Linked DNA regions of Oreochromis niloticus. The protein of the gene in region 2 purifies or fractionates together with the protein of the main gene of each other region. This does not show direct contact. Links are inferred from orthologs where the notes say so. Each region holds a gene or a part of one and is shown on either strand. Other genes may lie near its edges.

Evidence for each region.
Region 1: the proteins of pdpk1b (region 2) and sdc2 purify together in Homo sapiens (affinity purification with mass spectrometry; 4 studies listed by BioGRID and IntAct, counting the BioPlex papers as one, with this or other methods). This does not show direct contact. The link is inferred for Oreochromis niloticus from reciprocal best matches to the Homo sapiens genes PDPK1 and SDC2.

Annotation. Positions count from the first base shown.
Region 1 is NC_031985.2:14,750,494-14,758,436, forward strand, and holds the start of sdc2 (syndecan-2), read left to right. Parts: upstream 1-4,938; 5' UTR 4,939-5,346; coding exon 5,347-5,406; intron 5,407-7,943. Other genes in the region: ppp1r36 (protein phosphatase 1 regulatory subunit 36), read left to right, coding at 83-299. UniProt on the Homo sapiens protein: Cell surface proteoglycan which regulates dendritic arbor morphogenesis.
Region 2 is NC_031973.2:19,344,093-19,350,956, forward strand, and holds the start of pdpk1b (3-phosphoinositide-dependent protein kinase 1), read left to right. Parts: upstream 1-3,856; 5' UTR 3,857-4,025; coding exon 4,026-4,049; intron 4,050-4,142; exon of another isoform or gene 4,143-4,735; intron 4,736-6,175; coding exon 6,176-6,466; intron 6,467-6,682; coding exon 6,683-6,725; intron 6,726-6,815; coding exon 6,816-6,864. Other genes in the region: tsr3 (18S rRNA aminocarboxypropyltransferase), read left to right, coding at 1-192, 298-468, 2,999-3,053, 3,223-3,358. UniProt on the Homo sapiens protein: Serine/threonine kinase which acts as a master kinase, phosphorylating and activating a subgroup of the AGC family of protein kinases.

The DNA of each region.
Region 1 (7,943 bases), on a different chromosome or scaffold from region 2:
GTTATAAGTTATAGATAATATTTCCTCCAAGATAGCACTGTGTTTGGTTTGTTTGTTTGAAATCTTTCTTTCATTTAATCAGGTTTGGGATTCTCGGGAAGCCTTTGGATCAATTCAGCCACAGTACACTGCTGCCCTGTGGACAACAGAAACCTTTTGACGAGGATAAGGACAAGGAAGTAGACAGTGATGTTAATAACAGTGCAGATCATTCTGGAATCTGTGCTCAGGGTACCGAGTTGTCCTTCGTAGGATTCAAGTCGATGGCCTTTTCAGACATGGAAGCACCATCCACATAAAGATTAAACTGCACACTGAAAACCTTGCATATTGAATGACTTGCATGTGAATGTGTGTACTCTCAGTGGCCTAACATTTATTTGCACATCACACAGGTAAAGAAAGCAAAGAATGAGGTAGAAGCTGAGATTTCAGTCTTTCATGTGTGGCTCATTTTCAAAAATCATATTCCTGGACTGTTATCATACATGCTATTTGTTGGGATATGCCTCTGAATATAAATCTGTTTAGTGCTTCCAGCTGGTGGTGCTGTTGAATAAAATATAATGAAATCCATAACACTTTTGAAGGTCTCCTTTCTATAGAATATGAAATGTATTCAGTTCACATAGAAAAATAAAGCAAGTCGACCTCAGCGTGCTCATAATTCAAACTAGGTGATATGTAAAATTATGCATGCTTCACACCAAGATTTTATTTATTTATTTTAGGTCTTTGAAGGCTTTCCTTCAGTTGACTTTGTCATTATGGGTCCTTGTGCTGTTTGAAACAAGACTCCCAATCATGTGAACTAGTGCCACACACACACGCACCACCCTAGCCAGGCTTGGAAGCAGAAGGGGCTTTGCCTTTGCCCTAATTGGCTGTGTAATCTGGGACACCAGGAGTAGACTTAAGCCCTGTGAGGATAGGAAAGAGAGAGCCTGGGAAGCATTAGGATGGGGGATGGGTCGCAGGATATAGTTTTAATTTCAAAATTTTGAAGTGTACTTGATTTTTACCCAAGTGCCTCTGACACAATTCAGTTTTTCTTGCTTGTTTTTATTCAGGTCACAGAGGATCAGTGTTGGGCAAGTTACTTTCAAATAGTAATTCAATTATAGTTACTAGTTACTTCTTCAAAAAAGTAACTGAGTTAGTAACTGAGTTACAATATTCTAAAAGTAATTAATTACTTGGAAAAGTAACTATTGCGTTACTTAAAAAAAAAAACAAAGAACGTTTAACCCTCTGGCGTCCAGGGTATAATTGGCCATTTTTTTACTACTCTTGATTTTCTCTCCACATTTTACCTTTAAAAACTATTTGCTTTGCCTTGTTTGGTATCATTCTTTTTAGCGCAACCTCGCGTGCCTGAATTTACAGTTATGTTCTCATTTTGTCATACTGTATAACCAGAATTGATCTAAAATCAGACAAAAAACATAAAATCAGAGTAGAAAAAGTTATATTTTTACTGTAACAACCATAAACATGTTTAATGAATCATATTTTATAACTTCAAATGCAAATATTAATTGTCAATTTTAAAATCCTATGCACAAGTTTTGCAAACAACAAAGTTATTTGCATCCATTTACCTTTTACCCTTTTTTTAAATAACCATTTCAAACTATTTACAGAACAATCAGCTGTTCTTCAATAAGATGCCACACAAATTATTTGTGCCACTCCAAAAAAATCATTTCTGTCCACTATAAAGGAGAACATCACAGCCTGATACCTGCAGGTCTGACAGCAGCAGGTGTATCACCTCTGTTTCTACCTGGAGACAGCAGTCGCCTCATTGTTCTGACACACAACACAAAACTATCCACAACACTACACACTAACTACACAAGACAACACATTAACTACACACTCCAAACACGCTAAACGTCACAAATCTCACATCTCAAAACTCGCTCTCTCTTTCTCTCTCTCTCTTTTCCTGCTCTCTCTCCCTCTCTCTTTCTCTCTCCCTCTTTCTCTCTCTCCCTCTCTCTCTCTCTCTCCGTCACTCCTAAAACTTCCCCTGTTTTGTTTTGTTTTTTTGCTCATAAGCAGAGAGTGCTTGCTAGCGCTAACGTGGCGAAACTATTGAGGAAAAAACGCCGCGTATATATCGTTTATCATGACTCTGGTTTTACGTGGCCTATCGACACAATTTATAAACTAGCACCTTGTTGCTTTGTCTTTAAGTGGTCATGTGATTGGCTTACCACGACTACTTTATTCTTCCTCAGTCAAACAGCAGCACTCATGCGATTGTTTTGCCTCCTTAGCTCCAGGTGTTGTGCTAGACAGTGATCGTGATTACCGTCCGTGCGGGAGCGCGCAGCTGCTTAAAGCTGTAGCGCCCAGATTACTTACAGCTACTTCCTGGAGCTGATATAAGATGCGGTGAACTGAACACGGCTTCAACTGTTTGTTGAAAAATAGTAACGGACCGCGTTACCTTGTTAGTAACTGTAACGGCGTTGTAACGATAGGAATAGTAATTAGTTAGATTACTCGTTACTGAAAAAAGTAACGCCGTTAGTAACGCCGTTACTTGTAACGCCGTTATTCCCATCACTGCAGAGGATGAATGGTCTAAAGACAGGCACAGGGAGAACTGTAAAGGTCACATGCTACTCTTGTTCTTCTTTGGCTACCGTCTTTCCCCCCTGATGATTAATATCACTTTCCCTCTCTGTCTCCTCCCTTGTTCCTGTTGCCTTCCTCCTCCTCTAGTTCACTGTGGCTAATAACAGGCAAACTGACAGATACTCAACAGAGTGAAACCTGCCTTGTCTGTTAATGCATCTCTCTCACTGACCTGGATTAATAATCAGAGGTGTTAAACTGGCTCGGGAGTATTGATAACAACTCAAGTTAAACTAAAAAGGCTGTTCATCAAAATGTATTCTGAGGAATATTTTTACTCACTTTGTGTGTAAAATTAGCTGTTTAATGACAGTCAAACTATTTGGAGATAAAACAAGTAAAGGTTTTTCATTAACATTTCTGATATAAAGAATTAAATCCCAGTATGCTTCATGATGCTTTTCTCTTTAGGTTTTAATAAAGCCTAATTTAGTTCATGTAAACCATCACATGACCATTCCTAGAATTTAATTGTGTCCCTGAAACCCAAAGCCAATTTTCCAAAACACAAGGAAAAAGGCATAATTAATCTGACTGTACACTCTCAATTCAGCACAGGGTAGTGAAATTAATTTTAATTCCATGCAAACAGCTGGAAGTTGTTCGACACTTCCTTCCACAGAATATTCTGGTGAATTATTTAAGTGCCCTTTTCAAGATCCGTTTTGAAATAAGCAATCCAGAAGTGATGTCACCTGAGAAAAGTTTTGTAATTCAAATGGTGTGTCTCACATCTTTTTTCCCCCCATGCAAGTGTTGAAGATGAATTAGTTATTGCCATGTCAGAGATTGATGCATAAAGTCAGCAGATCACTGTGTAGTGCATAAACAGCACATACATTTAACTGTATACTAGTCCCTGTTATATACTTTATATAGGAACCTTTGACCTTATTTGTTATCATCAGTTTAAGATTGCACTTTGCACAAAGAGTGGACTGTCAGTGTGGCTTTTAGAAGGTGACTAGCAAATGCTTTCTTCTCTGATTTTGGATGTTAGTGAGCAATTTGGAAATCTTGCTGAGTTGAAAGTATATGGTGCTTATGTTACTGCAAAGGTACAAAACCATCTTTCAGTAATGCTGTTTACCTTGATTCTCCTTCAGCAACTTCTCCCAACCCCTCAAAAAAAGGAGGGGGTGATTGCCTGCAACTTTCTTTCATGCACCAACAAGCAGAGTGCCACTTGTGTCAGGTGGAAAGTGGAACAGAGTGTTGAAGCTCCATCTCAAAGGCTTCTCTTTGATACGCTCCGGCTCTGATTTTTACCACCCTTTGTACAAAAGTGTCTGCCACTGATTGAAATGTAATTAAAGCATACCACATTTGTCTAATAGCCTTTTAATAACACTCAGGGAATCTTTTAAAAAAAATGTTTCCCTGGAATTTAGTTTTGTGCCCATACTTTGTGCCTCAAATGGCATTTTATTTCAGTGTTTTATTTTGTTTTAATATGATTAGATGAAAAAGCACTTAGTCTTGTGAATCTGAAGATGTCAGGATGTGTGTGTGTTGCCTCAGAGGCTTGAGCTGATGATTTGTAAACATGAAGAATTCACTAGAAATGACACAACCTGTTATGGTGCAATACTTTACCAAGAGCTACCTAACACTAATGAACCAGGAACCACTCAATATACTTAATAAATCTGCGAACAAAGAAGAAAAAAAGGTGCGATGAAGGTGAATGCAAACATCAGAAGTTAAATGTTCAGCCTTGCTTTTCATCACAAACTGCAGAATTGCAGATTTCAGCTTCTAGAGAAAGTTGTCAACTCATACCAACAGGGGGAGACTTTGCCCATAGCATTACTTCCACCCATATTGTGAGCGTGTTTCTAACAGGGTGCTTTGCGCTTTATTCACATAAAGCCTGTTTACTGATCTCATATACAAAAATACAGCTGCAGAGGCTAATCAAACGTGTTGGTAAAACTGCTGCACGACAAACTCGAGGCTTGATTGTAAATTGGCGCAGTTGCTGAATTAAACTGTGTAATCCTCATTACGGTGCAATTAAGGATTGTTACGCAGACAAGGAGATAAATGGCTCATTTAGCCGAGCCTTTTATCCTCGTGTAGAATTGTTATCCGACCTCCCGGGTTGAAATAATAGACAATAGTAAACTCATTAAAATAAAGACTTACTGTACACCAATAAAACTACACGAGCGATTTGTTGTGAGTGTCGTTACTGGCTTGCTTTTGGCCGCTCGTTCACAAGTTCTCTCTGCGTCTCGCGGTGACTCGGTCGGAAGGAGCGCACGCACTCACCGGAGCGCCGGTGGCGCCGTGCTCGCGCTTCTACACTTTGCCCCCTTCTTATTTCGAGCGAGCGCTCGCGCGGAGGGAGAGCGAGGTGTCTCGTGCAGATTCCACTGACACACACATACCGGCGCGCGGAGGACCTCGCTGTTAAACCGTGCGCATTTGTGCGGTTACATACATTTTGTAAGATTTTACCCAGCATAAAAAAAAGAGAGAAAGAAAAAAAAGAAGTGCCCGGGGTGAGGGGAGGAGGAATAATCAAAACGCAACACGTATCCGGTGGGATCCCACTCCTGAGAGAGAGAGAGAAGCGGCAGGAGTTGGGTGCAAGGAAAACGAAGGGGAGAAAGAAGAAGAAGAAGAAGAAGAGTGGGGAAACATCTGACATTTCGTTTGCAACAACGCGTTTTTAACCCTCAAAGAGGAATTATGAGGAACGTTTGGATAATTTTCACCCTCGGGCTGGTTCTTTTCCTCGCCGAGGAAACGGTAAGTTTTTGGGTTTTTTGGGAAAGCAAACTTAAACTACTGGGCATTGAGCTGGGCTGTGAAGGGGGGCGAGGAAGGCGACTTGGGTCCACGTAGAGACAACTCGCTGCTGTTTGTAGCTGTTAGAGAAATCCCGTCAAAGCATTCCTTTTATTTTTTATTTTTTTTAATTGCACGGCAAATAACGAGAAGGGTTGTCTAGAATGATAAATCGTTGTCAGCTAATCTATCTTAACCAGCTACAATAAAGGCTACTGCTGCCCTTGTGCTCAAGTATTCATTTCCTTTAGATTCAAGCCTGCCTTCGTTCTTATTTACCCAGAGGTGCTCGGCTTTAGTCTTCCACACACTTTAATTGCCGTTATACGAGCGAAGTTAGGCTGGAACGAGGGGTCACTAAACTGGCTACGAGGTGCTCTGTACAGCTGTGTTGCAGTGATTTCACGAGGATCTCTTAATCCCCGTGGAGACAACTGTGCAGATTCATGCCCACAGTAGTTGCATTATTGAGGAAATGTCATCATGACTGGAGACTGGAGAATTCTGTTATCCCCCCTTCATCATGATGAGAAGAATCATCTTAATGATGCTTAAAAAAATCAGTGAAGTTTCCCTTATCTCTTCCCAGTTTCAGGCTCGAGTAAGTCTCCTAACTGAGTGGGCATCAGCCTGTAAATTGGCTGGGTTGTTGGAATGACAGATTTTGGCACTTTTATGTGCAGCCTCTGTCATTATTGTCCCCTCCTGTTGTTTCTCTGTGGGTTGTGACTTGTCGCCTGGCACAGCGCCTCCTCCACTGTTAGAACCACTTGTCCAATTAGCTGATTCAGTCACTGTTGTTTTAATGACTCATTGTTTTACATGATGTCACCCCCAGAGTACTTTTTTTTTTTTTTAAACATTTTTTTTATTTTAATGTTTTCTCTGTGTCTGCAAGAAACCATTTGAGTCTTCACCATACTTTCACTATAGGATGCCAAGTTTTGTAAAGGTCCTCAAAATTTCAGTACAAGAGACAATTATACTCTTGAAAATGCATATAAAGTTGAACCAGTTTAGAATATACCAGTTCAGAAGTTTCTATTATAGACCTATAATGAAATTCTTGCTACATTTTAGATTCATATGAATAAAATATAATATCTGGCAAAACTTGTCACATAGTGGCATGCTTTTAAATCTTCATCAACTATTCATACACGCAGGCACACGCAGACTTTAACCTGATCATTACTGGCCTCCCTTTTATCAGTGTCCCCTAAAGGCCTTGATGGAAATTGACACGTGACATTGATTCTCAGTATTGGCACCGATGTTGACAAGTGGTTGATAACCTGCTTCAGGCACATCTGTCTGTGTGTTAATTACCCCACTACATCACAGAGGTATGTTGTAACACTTGGAGGCTTTTGAAATTTTAATGATAAAACTAACTGCTCCTGGCTTCAGAGAAGGAATTATATCACCACAGAGCAAGAGACAGGACTCTTTGTTACCCTGCAGTTCTAGGCGCCACTAGTGCCTCTTTTACTTATCGTGTTTTTGGTTTGCTGTCCTGCTCACCAGCTTGCTTGCTGAGTAATTCTTTTACAGCAATCTCACATGTGAGGTCCTTGCACATGCTAATGAAAAGACGGGTTTTGCCAAACCGTGCATGCTTGCTGTCGTCATATCTCTCAAAGATGATGTAGTGAGTGTGGACCTGTGGCAGTCTGATTGTTTCCCCTGACATTTTTCAAGGTCTGGAATCTCCGAGTTGTCATGTCGATCGGTTGGTCGATACGCTCTCATCCGAACAAATTGGTCAGACAATCCCTGGGGTTACTTTGATAAGGAGAAAAGCTCTACATCAATAGCCTTCCAGGATTAACCCATTATCTTTAGAGCAGGCTACCTGTGGAAACAGGTTGTTTGTACCTTTTAACACGACCTAAACATTTACGTCAAGTCAGTCAAAGTGTAAGCGGCATGATCGTAACAGAGCTGATTAGTGGCGAGTTTGCATGTTAACCTGTTTGCTTTCAGGTGTTCTGTGTTACATGCTTGAGTAACCTTTGAGTGTGAGCATGCCAGAATTGGCGTGTTTCAATAAGTTTGGTCTAAAAATAGTCTCGTAACAGCGGGCACATCCTGCAACAGCTTCAGGGCACTACCATATGCCAATAGAAGGTGGATGTAAACCCTCCGTCTCTCTTTTAGATGTAGCTCATCTAGAGTTAACATGCAATTGTATTTTTGTTTGTTTTTTTTGGTTCCCCTACAACTAAAGAAAGCTCAATTTCAGTCAGCCAGGATTGTCTTTATTGGCTGACGACCACTACAACCTTACCTTTTGTCACGCCTCTGCTTCCAAGTATTTCTGTGAACAAGGAGGATGAGTTTGAGTGAAGCTAGGCTATATATCCTCAGCCCACCCCGCTGTGTTTTGGTGCACACCACTCACCAGATGTTGTGGTCTGTAATTTGTGTCATGTTTTGGTGGGAAGCGGGGGTGTTGTTCACCTCCCTTTACATCTGTGATTTACGGGTGGTGGGGT
Region 2 (6,864 bases):
AGATTGTGGCCAACAATGGGCTCGCAGTGATTGATTGCTCCTGGGCCAAACTGGAGGAGACACCCTTCAATAAGATGGTTGGAAGTCATCCCAGGTTACTGCCGTACCTCGTAGCTGCAAACCCTGTAAATTATGGCAAGCCTTGCAAGTTGTCCTGCGTTGAAGCTTTTGCTGCCACGTTCTGCATCGTAGGTAAGGGTTTAGGTTTAGTTATTCAGGAATACAGCAGCAACTGCTTTTTGTGTCTTATTTTGGTTAAGGCAGTTAAACTGTGACATATTGTTTCTGATATTGCAGGTTTTGAGGAACTGGCATTGCTCTTACTGAAGAAATTTAAGTGGGGGACAGCGTTTCTGGAGCTCAATAAAGTTCTGCTTGGCCGCTATGCTGCGTGTCAGTCGGAAGAAGAGCTCCTTGGTGTAGAGAAAGAGTTTCTCACTTCTAAACCAGAGGAAGAGGAGGAGTTTGGTAAATAACCTGGGGTTCCACGCAGTGTCTGGGTTTGTGTAGCAGTGGAGGTAGAGGGTCACTGTGTTTTGGTTCAACCTCTTTCTTGTTTTAGCTGTAGTTTGGCTTCGTGTACAACTAATGGCTCTTAAGTAAATCGCATTTATTGGACTTTAAGAGCTTTCAGATGACAATTTCAAGTAACTGTTTTAGTAACTGTTAAGTTTTAGTCGCATTTTTGTATCTTTGTAGCTGTTGCAGGGACAGTAAAAAACCGTATAGCATCATAGATTTTAAAAAACAAACATACAATAACAATATAACAATTCGGAAACAATATGTATACGATTTAGTGCAAAATGAGACCTGCTGTAGTGCAGTTAAAAGTGGGCATGTATCATCAGTGTTTGCACTAGCTCCTACAACAAAGTAGTGATTTTTCTGGCATAAGAGAAACTTTGATTGTCTTTTGGGGGTACTGGTAAAACATTAGCTGTGTTAACCCTAAAACACTAAAACAGAATGCAGAAATCACGCAGCAGAAAAGAAAGAAAACAAAGAGGCTGAAACGAGAAAATAAGACTAAAGCAGGAAGTTGTGTTGAAGTGGCTAGCTGTTGCATCACTTTAGATTTCTTAATAACAAATACAAACTAGAAAAAAAAGGACTTAGAAGGTAATTAGTTCTTGGACCTCTTGAGTGCAAAAATCTTGAGCCACTCCTAAGTTTTTCATATTTTGCATAGAAAATGCAAAGTAGGTGCAGTGATTTATTCAGACACATTTAAACAAATATGGAAATATAGCGTATAAGGCTAATACTATTCTAATGAGGTTGAAAGTGAATATTTGATGTGCCCACATTTATTCATCAACACAGCCTGAACTATTTCTGACTAGATTTCTGGTCCTTTTCTTAAAGTAGTCTTCATAAATGGTTCTCCAGGCTTCTTGAAGGACATTCATTCTTGGATGTTGGCTGCCTTTGGTTCTGTTCTCTGTCAAGATGATCCCACACTGCTTCAGTAATGTTGAGGCCCAGGCTCTGGGGAGGCCAATCCATGAGTGATAGTGTTCAACTGTCTGTTTTTCTATCCAGTTATGCTGTTACTGCATTGGCAGTGTGTTTGCTGAAAAATTGAAGGCGTTGCCAATTAGATGCTTTCCACATGGTTGTATCACCAGATAGTGGATCAAAATCTGAATGTACATTCTTGTCTGTAAATTTTGGCAAGATACATTTTCCCAACACCTCTCTCCTGAACTTCTCTGTACATATTGATGATGATTTGAATCAAAAATGTACAATTTTTATTTACTCCATTTTTTTCAGTCCAGTACTTCTTGTTAGCCTTCTTTAAGAATTGATTCTTGACATGGATTTCATTCGTCTGACAGCATTTCTGATGAGGCAGTAGATGGATCTTTCTTTAAAACATGACTTTCAGATGTTACTGTTTACTGTAGGTAGTATTTTTAGGCCTGCCACTTTCTTTTGTCTTCCATTTGTCTAGTTTCTTCAAATTCTTTAAGGACATATGCAGACCATTTCGAGATATGCCAAGGTTTTAGCTAAAAGCTCTTTGGGAATCACCTTGTTGGTGTAAAAATACTATTTCATGCTTGTTAAGCTGTTATCTTTGGGATTTTCGTAAATTCAACAAAATAAATGAGAAACAATTGTTTTTGTAACAAGAAAGTGCTTAAAGATACAAATTAAAGTTGGTTCTTGGCTTAATTTTCTGCAGTGTAGAAACAACAAAGGTCATCTCTTGAGTTGGGTCCCTTTTTGTGTTTGATTAATTCACAAGTCAGTGTTAAGTGGCTTAACAAACATTCCCTTGAAAATGGTCAGGTATTGGACTGGATTAAAAATGAGTGAAAAAGCAGCCACTATCCAAAGACAAACTTTGAAAGAGGTTCAGAAAGCCTGGAGAACTATTGCTCGAAACCACTTTGGAAGCAAATATTAAGAAATGAGGGATTTTTGCACAGTATTGTTGGTCATAATCAACTGTTTGATTCAAATGTATTTTTATTTTGGAAAGGTTCACTTTGGAAATGGCTGAATCTGAGTAATTGCTAATGAATAATTAGAATAATTTTTATAGTTTCCTGTTGTGACTCACATTTGCTAAATTGTCACCAGGAAACCAGTGTTCTCATATTTGTTTATAAGATATAAAACTCGTATTATTTTTAAGACTTTAAAGACAATTAGTAATGAATATTCCAAGGGGAAATAAATGTCATTATGAAGTGTTTTGTCTGATTGATTATCCTGTGGACATTGATATAACTGTTCCTTGCGTTGTTTCCTTGCCTTGTAATCAGGCTGCCTTGTTGTTTCTTTTTCCTTTCCTTATTGGATTTTGACTCATTTGATTTTGTTTGAATCTCTGAACACATCTGGCCAGTGATGAGGAAGTCTGTATCCAGGCTGATTGTCTGGAAATGTCTAGAATCTGGATGTGTATTTTTGTTGCTGAGTGACCTGTAGTGCAGAATTAACTGTCCTCGTAATGAAAGCTACACATCTGTTTTGTTCACAGATCCATTTGATGTTAACTCTGGAGTAGAATGCATGAATCTCAACAGACGTCAGTGGTAAGTATTGATCTAGCACATCTTCACATATCTCTTACTTAGTTTTCTTAGTGGTGATGTTTATATGGCATAGAAATTACCAGCATAATTTTAAAAATGGCAAGAATTCTCTTAAAATAGGCTTTAACGATTTGTTTCCTATGTTTACTGAGTTCATTTCTGTGTTTAGTGCACCTGTAGAAGATGACTCCAGTGAGGACACAGACCCCTCAGAGGAAGATGACGAAGATGAAGCAGAAGATAAAGAAACGGAAAGCAATGACGAGACAAGAACAAGCTCACATGACCATGATGAAGAGGATTGAACCAAAGACTTTACACTAAATCATATTTCAACTGTGGGTTCTTTTTAATACACGACTGTTTTAAAATGCTCAAAAAATATTTTGGCACGTATGAATGGTTATGTATTTTTTTTGCCTATATGTTTATGTAAATTAATGAACTTTGTGATGCATGTCAACTAAATAGAAATAAAGTAAGGGTGTTTATTATTATTATTGACATTTAAAACACATATTTTTGGTTTATTGACAAAATATTTATTAGATTAAACTTTTGTTTGTTGGAATATACTTGGTTGCCACAGTTTCAGTTTCACACAAAGCGTTTTATGGCTATTGGTCATTTTTGTCAGTTTGGGTATTTAGGAGTGCTTCTTCACTTAAGTTTAGTTACACTTGAATAAAAAAGACCTGTAGATCCTTCTTACTGCCATATATTCAAAGTTGGTCTAAAACGGGAGTTTGTAGGCCACAACTGCTACCGTCTGACTCCGGCCCTATCAGTAAGATGAAGTTCAGTAGGTTGTTAATGTGGCGAGGGGGCGGACACAGCGGGACTCTCCTCTGCTGTCCTGCGGTAACATTGTTGTGGAACGACGTCACAGCTCGAAAATGAAGGCGCAGAGGCAGCCATTACTGGAGCTTCTCTAATTATTTTATTCCAAATAAATACTCGCAGAAAACTCTCATGGCAAGAGCTACAAGTCAGGTGGTAAGTGTTACAACTTTGCCGTGAATACCAGCTCGAAGCCGGTGCTCAAAATGGTCAGTGTAGAGGCTGTGTGGGGATAAATAGTTACGTCGGGCCTTCATTTGAAGAGCAGTGCTAGCTGCAGGAGATCGCTTAGCCTTACGACTCACTAGCAGCTTGCTAGTTTGCTAATGTTGGCTATCGCAACACCCAGTGTTTGCCTTGTTAATTTGGATCGTCAAATCTCACACAGTATTCATGAGTCACACTTTCTCGACTTATTTGGGCCTTTTGAAACGTTTACCAGTACACGATAATGGTTACAGGGGGGACACATGAGCGTTTTCCTCTACCAGTAACTATTGGCTATTGATAGCTTAACAGGTTCGCGCTTTCGATATCCCCGTTTGCTAGCAGGCTAGCATTAGCTTTATTGCGTTCTTCCATTGGTTAGCATATATTTTGAAGGAAAGCGTTGTGCTATTCGAGTGTCAACTTTCAAATCTTCATATAAACGGCAGGAAACTAACTTTTTACACAATTAAGTGACGTTTCTTGAAAATGCCACACGGTTTTGAAGTTGCTTGTGTTGCCCGATTTGCTAACGTTAGCTAATTGGCTGTTGGCGTTAAGTTTGTAACTCACTGTCAGCGATGGCCGGCATTATTTGACAAGCCAGCAGGAGCTAACATTAGCTTCTTAGCAAGGTAAGTTCGCACAGGCCGGTTGTTTCACGACTTCTCAGAGTTAGGAAAACGTTATTCGGCGTTTTCCTCCAACCATTACATGCCTGACCAATAGCAGTGACTCAGTAGGTAGTTATATGGCTAGCTGAAATAGGCCGGAATAGGCAGCTAAAATAATGGCCACACCTTGGTTTTGAATGAGAAAAAGCTAGGCCAACTGAACTAATTAAACGTAAACTGAACTGCCAGCTAAACTACACACTTATTGTTCGGGTAATTCAGTGTGTTTATACATACATGACACCGGTACCGGGAATTTTTAGGAAGCACTATCTTTAAGTTTTAAACAGGCAGTTGGTGTGCCTCAGCTGCCATGTCAGTTTGATTATGTACACATAGATGGTGTGAGTTCAGCGCAGTTTATGTCTCAAGTATCACTGTCACATGAAAAATTAACTTTGACATAGTTTTTACAGCTTGAACACAGGTGGGTGGGACCACCAGGCTCAGAAGTGGCTCCTTAAGCAGTTCCTTCTTATCACTGTTAGACTTTGGTCTACAAGTGGTCTCACTTGTAGTAGTATGTTTAGGTTATTGTAATTTACAGAACTATAAGCAACAATAATTTTAAGCCAGCAGCCTGTAAAGTGCTTCGTGTAATATGTGAGTACATTTCTTTCTCTTCATGTGTCATATGTATACTTTGTGAAAGAGATTTAAGATTCAGGATTAATTATTATCATAACGCAACGGAAGGTTGCACAACAAAATTCTACATGGAGTTACTTCATGCTAATAAAGAACTGGATAGCAATGTGGATATAGCTATCATTAAAAATAATTAATTAATTTAGTTAATTTTCATGAGTGCAATGATAAAGTTCAGAGATTCCAAAGCATATGAAAGAAAATTCTTCAAAGTGTTGTTTACACCAGTGGGAACTTTCAGGTGTCAGTAGAGTGAGAAGACTGTGGTTGTGGTGGGTAACTTCTTTTAGTCTCATCTATGTAAACATCTCAACTCACCTTTGTCACCGGTGCCGGTGATGTTCTAGGAAGCTCATGTTTTTCAGTAATTAAGTTTAGCTGCTTTTGCCGTGTGCTCTTTGGGCCATCTAATCTGTATTTTGACAACTAATAGCCGCATCAATTACTAAATCCATCACAGACTGATGGAAAAACCTGAAATTCCTCATTTAAGTAATAGTTTAAAGTGCTGAATAACAAAACACATTTTCTTTATGCATTCATTTTTATTGAAAACGTTATTGAAATGTTAAATTGTTACTATTTTATCCTGATATTTTTGTCATCACTGTTATGTTCAATCCAGTAGTAGTTCAGATGGTTATACAGTCCCTCAGCTTTCTCAAGTAAAGAGCCTTTCCACATGTGAATTGTTATTTACCTGTGTCACCCTGCTTAATAACACATTCTTTATGATGCCTCTTTTTCTTGCAGTATGATGTTGTGCCCATTCAGCCCAGCGTTGTCATCTGTTCCTGCTCGCATCCATCAATGGTAAGAAACCACCCTGACTCCTGCTCGCCACTTGCAATCCCAGGCGCAAGCAGCAGCCACTGCCCCAGCATGGAGGGCGCAGCCTCACAGGCTTGTGGTGTAGGAGCATCTGCTAGCAGCCAGGCCCCACAGCTCTGCACACAGCCAGCCGTCCCGGCTTCTCAGCCACGCAAAAAGAGGCCAGAGGACTTTAAATTTGGCAAGATACTGGGAGAGGGCTCCTTCTCAACGGTATGTAACTTACATTCCACTTAGCTTTTGAAATGTACCGAGGAAGATGTTGCTACATGCTAGCGTTATTTTGATTAATGTACTTGGATGAGTCATGCTGAGTTCATTTTAGGTGAAGTGACAAGTAAGCCCAAGGAAATATTATTATTATTTTCCCTCAACATCTGACTGGTTGGTTACATGCCATATCATCTCACTGTTGTTTCTTATTCTAAGGTTGTCCTGGCAAGAGAGCAGGCAACAGGGAAAGAATATGCAAGTAAGTAATAACGTATAATGAATTGAGTTATACTAAAATGAAAAAGTTGCTGGGTTTACGTTTACTAACATTCTCTTTTCTCTCCTTTAGTTAAGATTTTAGAGAAACGCCATATTGTGAAGGAGAACAAAACCCAGTA